2 linked regions of the Saccharomyces cerevisiae S288C genome follow. The protein of the gene in region 2 interacts with the protein of the main gene of each other region in a biochemical or structural test. Each region holds a gene or a part of one and is shown on either strand. Other genes may lie near its edges.

What was found. The genes of interacting proteins can lie anywhere in the genome.
Region 1: of the proteins of KCC4 (region 2) and CMR3, one has a biochemical effect on the other in vitro, tested with the Saccharomyces cerevisiae proteins (one large-scale study listed by BioGRID).

The regions. Positions count from the first base shown.
Region 1 is NC_001148.4:584,132-587,557, forward strand, and holds CMR3 (Cmr3p), read right to left. Parts: upstream 1,455-3,426; coding exon 501-1,454; downstream 1-500. Other genes in the region: YPR014C (uncharacterized protein), read right to left, coding at 3,058-3,387. UniProt on the Saccharomyces cerevisiae protein: Probable transcription factor involved in the regulation of the transcription of genes involved in cell rescue and defense, as well as cell cycle and DNA processing.
Region 2 is NC_001135.5:77,302-82,834, reverse strand, and holds KCC4 (serine/threonine protein kinase), read right to left. Parts: upstream 3,674-5,533; coding exon 560-3,673; downstream 1-559. Other genes in the region: amino acid transporter AGP1, read left to right, coding at 4,916-5,533. UniProt on the Saccharomyces cerevisiae protein: Involved in regulation of bud growth during cell cycle and in septin organization. Plays a role in cell wall synthesis.

The DNA.
Region 1 (3,426 bases), on a different chromosome or scaffold from region 2:
ATTCACTTGGCCTTACTGGCAATCATAATCATTTTGACGAACTGCGGACATCGAGAGTACCCTGCAAATATATCTAGAAAAAGAGGTAAAAAAATATTGAAGGGTCAACCTGAAAAAAATTGAAAAGTGAAAATAGATCTGCTGATAAATAATGCACGGCTTGCATCAAGTGATCACATGGAACTTTCCCAATACCTCAACTACGCATTTTCCCTTGCATATTATATCATCATCCATCTTCTTTGCCTCTCATATATTTACGAAATAATACATAAACATAAAAACGTCTTTGTGCGTCCAAGTAAACTTGAAGACGCACTCCCGTTATATAAAACTGGGAAGAACACTAACAAAGAAGGTGACTTGCGCTTAATTAGTTTTATTCCCTTGCTTCTAAAGTCCGTAAAACATTCTATTAGAGTCTATACATAGTTTTGCCTTACCTTTGAATATGAGTTCTAAAAATTCCATTGCAATAAAGCTTTCCGTTCCTATTGTTTCTATGTAGTGTTTAAGACTTTGTTTCTTTTCCTTTCATGGCTTTTCAAATGTCTCAGCATATTGCTTTTCACATTGAAGGATTTTGTGCAACCCTCCCAAGTACATTTGAAAGGAGTATCTCCCGTATGAATTAAGTAATGTGTCTTCAGCGTTGAGGGCCTCGAACAAATTTTTCCACATACTGGGCACTGCTTTCTCAGCTTTGTGGATGATATTCGGGTGTCAGTTTTCCAATCAGAAAATGTTGCTGAACCGTTCAACACGGCACCAGGTTCGCTTTTTGTTCTGCCGTTACTGGCTTCCTGCATGGTTGGAAGTACGCCATACCCAGGTGGGACTGATTTTGGCCTATCGTGGCATAGCTCTAAGGCAGCGTTTGGGTGACTCGCCATTGATATTGCAGTGAAGTTAGGTTCGGAGGCAATTGTTATTGGTTCTTTGTCGTATGGTGTCAATGGTTTATATACTGTTGGGACCATGACTGGCATCATCAAGGGAGCAGAGGAGGTCAAATGAGGAGACTGGCTATGTGGTATTGGTTGCTGACTTTCCGTATAGTAGATAGGATATTGATCAGATGTTGCGTTCATGGAAATTGGGGTGTAGATCTCATTAACAATGGGTACAACATTCATGCTTTGATAAACTTGCTGTGGAGGGAATTGAACCCTTGAATCTACGTTAGGTGGTGTATTATTTTCAAAATTAGGCAAAAGGGATGAAATTGGTGGTAAGTTTATTTTCGTACTATTATAACATTCCCGTTCATTTTTGTAGCTATTGTGGCCATAAAATTGAGTCCCCTTACCAGTGCTCAGCTGATCAACTGCGGACACTTGAAGGGGGAGGTTCGATTTATAATTGACTGTACACATTCCTATATTAGGAGATCTTGACTTGTCTGTATATGATGATTGTTTTTCTGAACTTTGCTTTGAAAGGGAAAAATTCATGTAATTTACTTTAGTGGCGTTTACTGCTATTTTTCGAAGGTAGGTGATGAACTTGTGTTATAACTAAGAAGCTCAAAACTAAAAGTATACTAATGTTTGAGGAATTATTGTGAAGCCATAGAACAATAAAAAGCTAACAATTGTATCTTTCGTTCAACTTGTCAAACCCTGACAGGCATATAAAAGAGGTATTTTGAAACATCAACATGTAGTAGTCACATATATAGCAAAATAGTAAGTAAGGAAAAAAAGAAGGCACAGAGAATACAACAATAATGATGAAGGCACACGACTGCCCTTTCCGGGCCACCTGCAGATCTGTAAGGTAGTTCAAATGACGTTCTCGCGCGGGTTTCTTACTTATGAAACTTTAGGGACATAAGTCGGGAACCTGATGCATCATTCTTTATCTTGTTTTTTGTTGTTGTTTGAGTTTCTTGTACAGAATAATACGCAGAATTAAAGCGGAAGTTAAAAAACAGATCGTCTTGATCTGCCCTCAAAACCAGTATCCACTGAAAACCTTATTTCCCACCGTAAATGGCAATCACTCGTAGCTCAAGGTGGAATGCTCCCGTAAGGATATTTCCTATATGAGATAGTCCCGATCCTGAGAAGAGGGATCGCCGTCATTTTATTCTTTAACCCCGAGAAACGGCATCTCTCACCTGATTGTTCTCAAGATTGCTGCAAAACCCAGATATACTTTTAGGTACGGAGCGTACGCGATGTATATGGATTGATTTTCACATGTATCGTTTATGAGTACTTGACTGCACCTCGTGTCGGAAGATTTTCCAATCGGGCTTTTTTTCAATCTTGAAGGCCCTCCTTTTCATTTCCATTTGCTCTGACATTGCGGCTATGCATCACAGGCAAAAGCTGAAAAGGAAATTTTGTAGCGTATCGGTTTACTGCACAGTCTCAGACCCTTTGTAGTACTGTTACCTGGAAGAATAGTAGGTGCGTACAACAGTGATTATGTAGTAGTATCTACTGAAGAGCCTACGAGCGAAAAAAAAAAAAATTATCGGCTACATTACGTTGTTTCCTACGGAGACAAGAACCAATATAAGCTGCAAAAAATCTATGAGCATTTTAAGTTTCCGATACAACAAGATGTATGCGTACTATTCACGTCGTGTTATATTGCTCACGTAACAACTTCTATGACAATAATAAAAAATAACCTTTCCATTGTATCATTAAGGTTATCTACGGAGGATTGTCAAACCTAGCGGATATGAAATGTACTTGATTCCTAATTCGGGTTTATTTAGAGTTCAGACTATGTGGGTCATTTCTTATGCTAATAATAGGCACTGAGGTAAGTCAAAATAGCGACACTCAATTACTGTTGAATGGGAAGAAAAAACCGAGAAAGGGATACAGAGATCTTGCCCACGCCTTTTTTTCAAAAAGAGCCCTTCGCAAGGTTGCTCAACGGGATTGTCATAGAAAGAAAAAATCAAAGCCAATAACTACAAGGCCAAAAGTAATGGTAGGGAGCTACTACAAAGTGGGCTCAGCCTACCTGAAGAAAATAAACAATTAATGGACAAGATCTGTTAGCGGACATACAAGAGATCAAATTACCTTCTGGTTAATGCTGTAGGCGAAGCAAACCATTCAATTGAGGAAACCTTATTCCCAATTGCGCTTTTGCTCCCTGGAAGCCTATAACAGCGTGTGGGCAAATAAAGTTGTTTTTCGCCCTCAGCGACTTTACTTCGGAAACTGAAGAGCGGCTAGAAATTTCGCAGAAAAGATTTTCCTTTGAGGATAGAAAAATGAAAAAAAGAAATTTATCTTTTTTCACAACAGGTGCTGCTTTTTCCTCACGTATGCACAGAATGCAAAGTACAAGATTTGTAATACGCGACTCCGCGCAGCTGTACTCTACTCCCAAGTCAGCGGAAAAAATGCAAGACATACAGAAAGTTGCCGCTTTATTGGCTATTTTTTTGGGCGA
Region 2 (5,533 bases):
AATCCTTGCGTTTCAGCTTCCACTAATTTAGATGACTATTTCTCATCATTTGCGTCATCTTCTAACACCGTATATGATAATATACTAGTAATGTAAATACTAGTTAGTAGATGATAGTTGATTTCTATTCCAACAGTACTAAAGAGGAAATATTTTAGGGTTCCATTCCAACAATTTACGTGTTTTTTCAGAATAATTAATTTAAATTGCAGATTTTATTGGAACAGTTGAGTTGAGTTTTTATGATGTTTTTATACACCATTAGTTCATCTTTTTATTAAATAATTTTAATAATTTGTTATCCGATATAGTGTAACGGCTATCACATCACGCTTTCACCGTGGAGACCGGGGTTCGACTCCCCGTATCGGAGTTTTTTTTTTCTGCTATTACAATTAAAGATTTTTTCAACTATATCTGAGATTGTTGACCGGTCCAAATATTTAATAAATTACCATTTTATTTTTTTCAAAAAATAGTTACATATATACATTTATTAATTATATAACGGTGTTACATCGTATTGTCCATTTGGGGATCGATTATCCCTCCCTTTTTTTTATTTGTCCAAAACACCTTCTTTTTGTAAAATAATTTGGATTTCTGTAGCAAGCTTGGTCAGCGTTTTAGTAGATCCTGTTTTCTTATTGAATTTAATTAAACTTCTACCGTCTCCATTTGGTAAAACCATTATTTCAAAAAGCGTAGATCGTAAAAATAAAATACTGTCATTCACCAATTTTCCTGTTATGATCATATTAGTGATGTTAAACACCAGGTTTTTCAACCCGTATTGCTTCCAGCCTTCTAGTAGTTTATGTAGGCCCTCGTATAGTCTCTTTTCAGGTATTTTGGCATGTATTTCAAGTTCTAAGATTTTACCTTTTGAGAATTTTTTCAAGAGTACGCTGTTAGGTGGCTTTTTTACTGTAGTAGGGGCATTCACTGTGTCGTTATCTTTCTTGTCATTATCTTCCTTCAAGTCATCGTCTGACAGGGAAGCAGCGATTTTCTCACTCTCAGTCCCTTTTTCCGCCCCATCCTCTATGTTTTCTCCGACGCTGCTGTTATTACTTGTAAGGCTCGGTAAGGTTACCTTAGAAGGCTCTCTTTGGTATAGGCCCAACCCACTGGCGTTTTTTCCTTGGAAAGAACTCAAAGACGGAAGTTTCACTACCAGTGTGGGCTCTGCGCTTTTTGATATTGGAGATTGGTTTGGATTTTTATCCTTCATGTCGTATTCCTGTGATATGCCAACGCCTTGAGGAAAGTCGCTCAATATATTATCATTATTCACATTATCACCATCCTTACTATCATCCTCATCATATTGTATATTCCTTGAATCAGTGATACTCTCGGCTATTTCGGGATCTTCGCTCCTACTTTCGTTATCAGTGCTTCCTTGTGGAGGCAAATCAGGATCTTCCTTTATTAAAAATTCGTTTAAGTCTTTGATTGAATCCTTCGCATACAAAGATAAGACTGAGCGCCGATTATTAGCAGTAGTAAAGTGTTTTGATTTCCTCGTGAAATGTGGGACTTCCACATCGGATATCCTACGAGGTTCCATTCGATCATTATATATTAGTGGTGTGGTTGAAACTATGGGAGACTCTTCGATAGGTGCCAGTTCACTTTTCCCTGGCGATAGTCCCCCTCTAACATTTAGTAGCGATCCTAAAAATTTGGATCTGCGTATCGTTTCTATTATTTTCTTTTCAGTATCCTGCAGCAGAGCTGTTTTTTCTTTTAGGTTGTTAGGAAGTGTCTCAGTAACAGGCGTTAATCCGGGATCCAGTCTCGAAATAGGCCTAGTATATGACGAAAGTTGATAACGATTCGTTAGTAAGGTGTCTATATCTTGCAATAGTTCTTGTTGCGAAAATTCGTAATTTATCAACGGGGACGACACTTTGTCATTTATTTTTTTCAGCTCTTTCATTCCATCAGAAACTTCGGATCCAAACTCGTCCTCATTAATCTTCTGTGCATTCACTGATTGCCTTTTTGCTTCCTGAACTTTTCTTTGAAGTTCAGCCTTTTCTCTTTTCGCCAATTCAAATTTCTCAGGCTCAAATATTTCATCAATCAGTGTAGCGAAGTTGGAACTTGTTCTCTTTGCATCCTTTTCAATGTACTCCCAATCATCATCATCTATTAGGTTAGTAAAGTTTGATAATGATTTTGATGTTAGTGAGCTTCTTTTTGTATTAGGCATATAAGATAATCTTTTGCTTGACCGTTTTTTTGAGTTCCTCTTGTGAGGATTCGGGACACCACTTGGCGTTGCTTGGGTATTTGCAGACGCTACGTTAATATGTGTAATTCTTTTACTACTTCTCAAAGGTATTGGAGAACTATCGGTAGGATTCGAGGACAGTAAAAAGGACGATCTCTTCCTGCTAGAAGAGAATTCCCTGGAATGCCTCTTGGATGTACGTCTGCGTGGCGTAGATTGTATGCTTCGGTTGTTCAATAATAATGATGACGATGACGAAAGTGTGCTAGATCTTTTATTTTTTTTGGTTTTCTTTATCTTATTGCGGTTCTTCTTATTCGATCCCCTTACAGAGTCCAGTTTGAAACGGTATAGTAGCGCATATAGAATTTTTTCTTTGTTGGTTCCATTCTCTTTCAGTTTAGATACGATGTCATCGGCGTGTCTACCATGCCAAAGTACCACCAAGTTTTGTAGGATTGAATCATCGATAGAGGCGCTAGTATGGTTGTTCGAGTCAGCCAGTGGATATAGATAGGTATTTTCACGAGGTAAATCTTTGATACTTTTGGAATCCTTAATGGTTTGATATTTTTTTAGCAGTGGATGACTAAGGATGTCTCTGATTTTTATTCTTTGCCTGGGATCTACAACGAGAATCTTGCCGATTAAATCTTGTGCATCTCTGGAAATTTCGGTGTCATTGGGCATTTCAAACTGGCCCTTTTGGACTTTCAATAACAAATCCCTAACATTACCGTTTTCTTCATCGAAGGGTAGTCTACCCGTTAAAAGGGCAAAGAGGATTACACCGCAAGACCAAACGTCGCTGGCAAATCCTTCATAGGGCAGACCTGATACGATCTCAGGAGCGGCATAATGAGGAGACCCACAAGAAGTTTCTAGCAGGTCGGCGTCTGTCTGTAAAGCTGCCATACCAAAATCCGCAATTTTGATATTATAGAAACTATCGAGCAAAAGATTTTCTGGCTTTAAATCCCGATGTACTATTCCTAGCGCATGGCAGTATGAAATGCCTATAATTATCTGTCTGAAGCAATTGATGGCCTCACGCTCGGGCAAGGGACCGTGGTCCACAAGCAAGTTGAACAGTTCTCCCTTTTCGGCGTATTCCAGGATAAGGTACAGGTTATTGTTGGTTTCCCAAACGTCGTAAAGACTCAGAACGTTTGGGTGGCTCAAAAGTTTCATAATAACAATCTCACGCTCGATGTTGTATGGCAGCACTGAATCGTCGTTACTGTGGTTTCCGTTGTTGTTGAAAATGGACTTTGAGATTACTTTGACGGCTGTTCTATGGCCCGTGCGCTCATGTTGCGCAAGTTGGACCTTGCCGGTGCTACCAAAGCCCAGTGTTTCACCAAGCTTCCATGGGCCTATAGTACTCGATGGTTTAGCAGCAGAATGGGTCTCGGTATTCGCCACAGTCATACTGCAGTAGTTCTGGTAATTTACGTCAGCACTATTATCAAGCCTATACACGTTTATTGCACACTCTATTATGCTATTCTACGCTGTTGTATCCAAATTTACATCTTCTTTTTTAGTTTTCATGTAGTTTTCAAGAGAGCCCTTTTACTAAGACTGCGTTACGCGTTTTCTTGCACAGCACGCGAAAAAAAGAACGAGATGTTTTCCTTTTAAGGAAAACATATTAGCATAAATCGTCATTGCTGAAAGAGCGCCTTTACCTCAACCTACCATGGCAAACATAACAGAAAACATAAAAAAATTATCCTAGAGCCCAATGTTCCATGAAAAGAGCTGTGGCAAGGACAGAAACAAAAAAAAAATCAAGAACTCAACATTACCTATATAATTTTTGTTTTCTCCCATTTTCAAAGTCATTTGTTTTCCATTTTGCAAAGCAATTATTATATCAATAAGCCTTTTGATGACTTTACCTAGCACTCTTTCAAATAGAATCTTCTTACGAAGGTGTGCATTCTCCCTTTTATACCTCGGCGGCTTCACTCGGCGGCTAACCCCTTATTTCCTCATTTCCTCGGCGGCTAAAAAGGGACTTTGGAGAAATCTTGCATCCGTGCCTCCCACGGCATTTTTTTTTGGTTTCTTTTTTTCCTTGACCGGCATAATAGAAGAAAAAAAAAAGCGCGCCGTTCTTCAGTGCCGCTTGAGGGTGCCGTCTAAGCGGCACTGATCTGCTGCAAAAAGCTGCAACTTTGCCGTTGATGGCACTCCCAGTGGCACCATCGCACTAAATAACGGTCTCATCGAGTCATAGATAAGCAGGTTGCAGTATCCGGCCAACTTTCAACTCCCCCACGTCCAGCGGATTGCTGCTCCTTAGTAGTCCACAGTTCTTAAGTTGCGCTGCGAGGCTCTTTTTTTAGTGCCTTCTAGCCATTTCTTCCAGCTTGGCAGTGGTTATCTCTTTCACTGAACCGCAAATCAATCCTGATAAGACGGCTAAGATGCATAGGATAGGTCGGCTATACGTGTGTCTTGCGCTATCTTCCCCTCGTCCGCTAACAAGACTCATATCCTTCGTGATTAGTTTCTTTTTGTTATTTTCCTCGTAATACTCATTTGTTTTACATACATATATAAGTGCTTTGTCTTTGATGGTCTGCCCACAACAATGTAGAACAAGTTTATTATGTAATCTTTATAGAAGAAGCACGCTAATATAGACAAAGATAGCTTCGCACAATGTCGTCGTCGAAGTCTCTATACGAACTGAAAGACTTGAAAAATAGCTCCACAGAAATACATGCCACGGGGCAGGATAATGAAATTGAATATTTCGAAACAGGCTCCAATGACCGTCCATCCTCACAACCTCATTTAGGTTACGAACAGCATAACACTTCTGCCGTGCGTAGGTTTTTCGACTCCTTTAAAAGAGCGGATCAGGGTCCACAGGATGAAGTAGAAGCAACACAAATGAACGATCTTACGTCGGCTATCTCACCTTCTTCTAGACAGGCTCAAGAACTAGAAAAAAATGAAAGTTCGGACAACATAGGCGCTAATACAGGTCATAAGTCGGACTCGCTGAAGAAAACCATTCAGCCTAGACATGTTCTGATGATTGCGTTGGGTACGGGTATCGGTACTGGGTTATTGGTCGGTAACGGTACCGCGTTGGTTCATGCGGGTCCAGCTGGACTACTTATTGGTTACGCTATTATGGGTTCTATCTTGTACTGTATTATTCAAGCATGTGGTGAAATGGCGCTAGTGTATAGTAACTTGACTGGTGGCTACAATGCATACCCCAGTTTCCTTGTGGATGATGGTTTTGGGTTTGCAGTCGCTTGGGTTTAT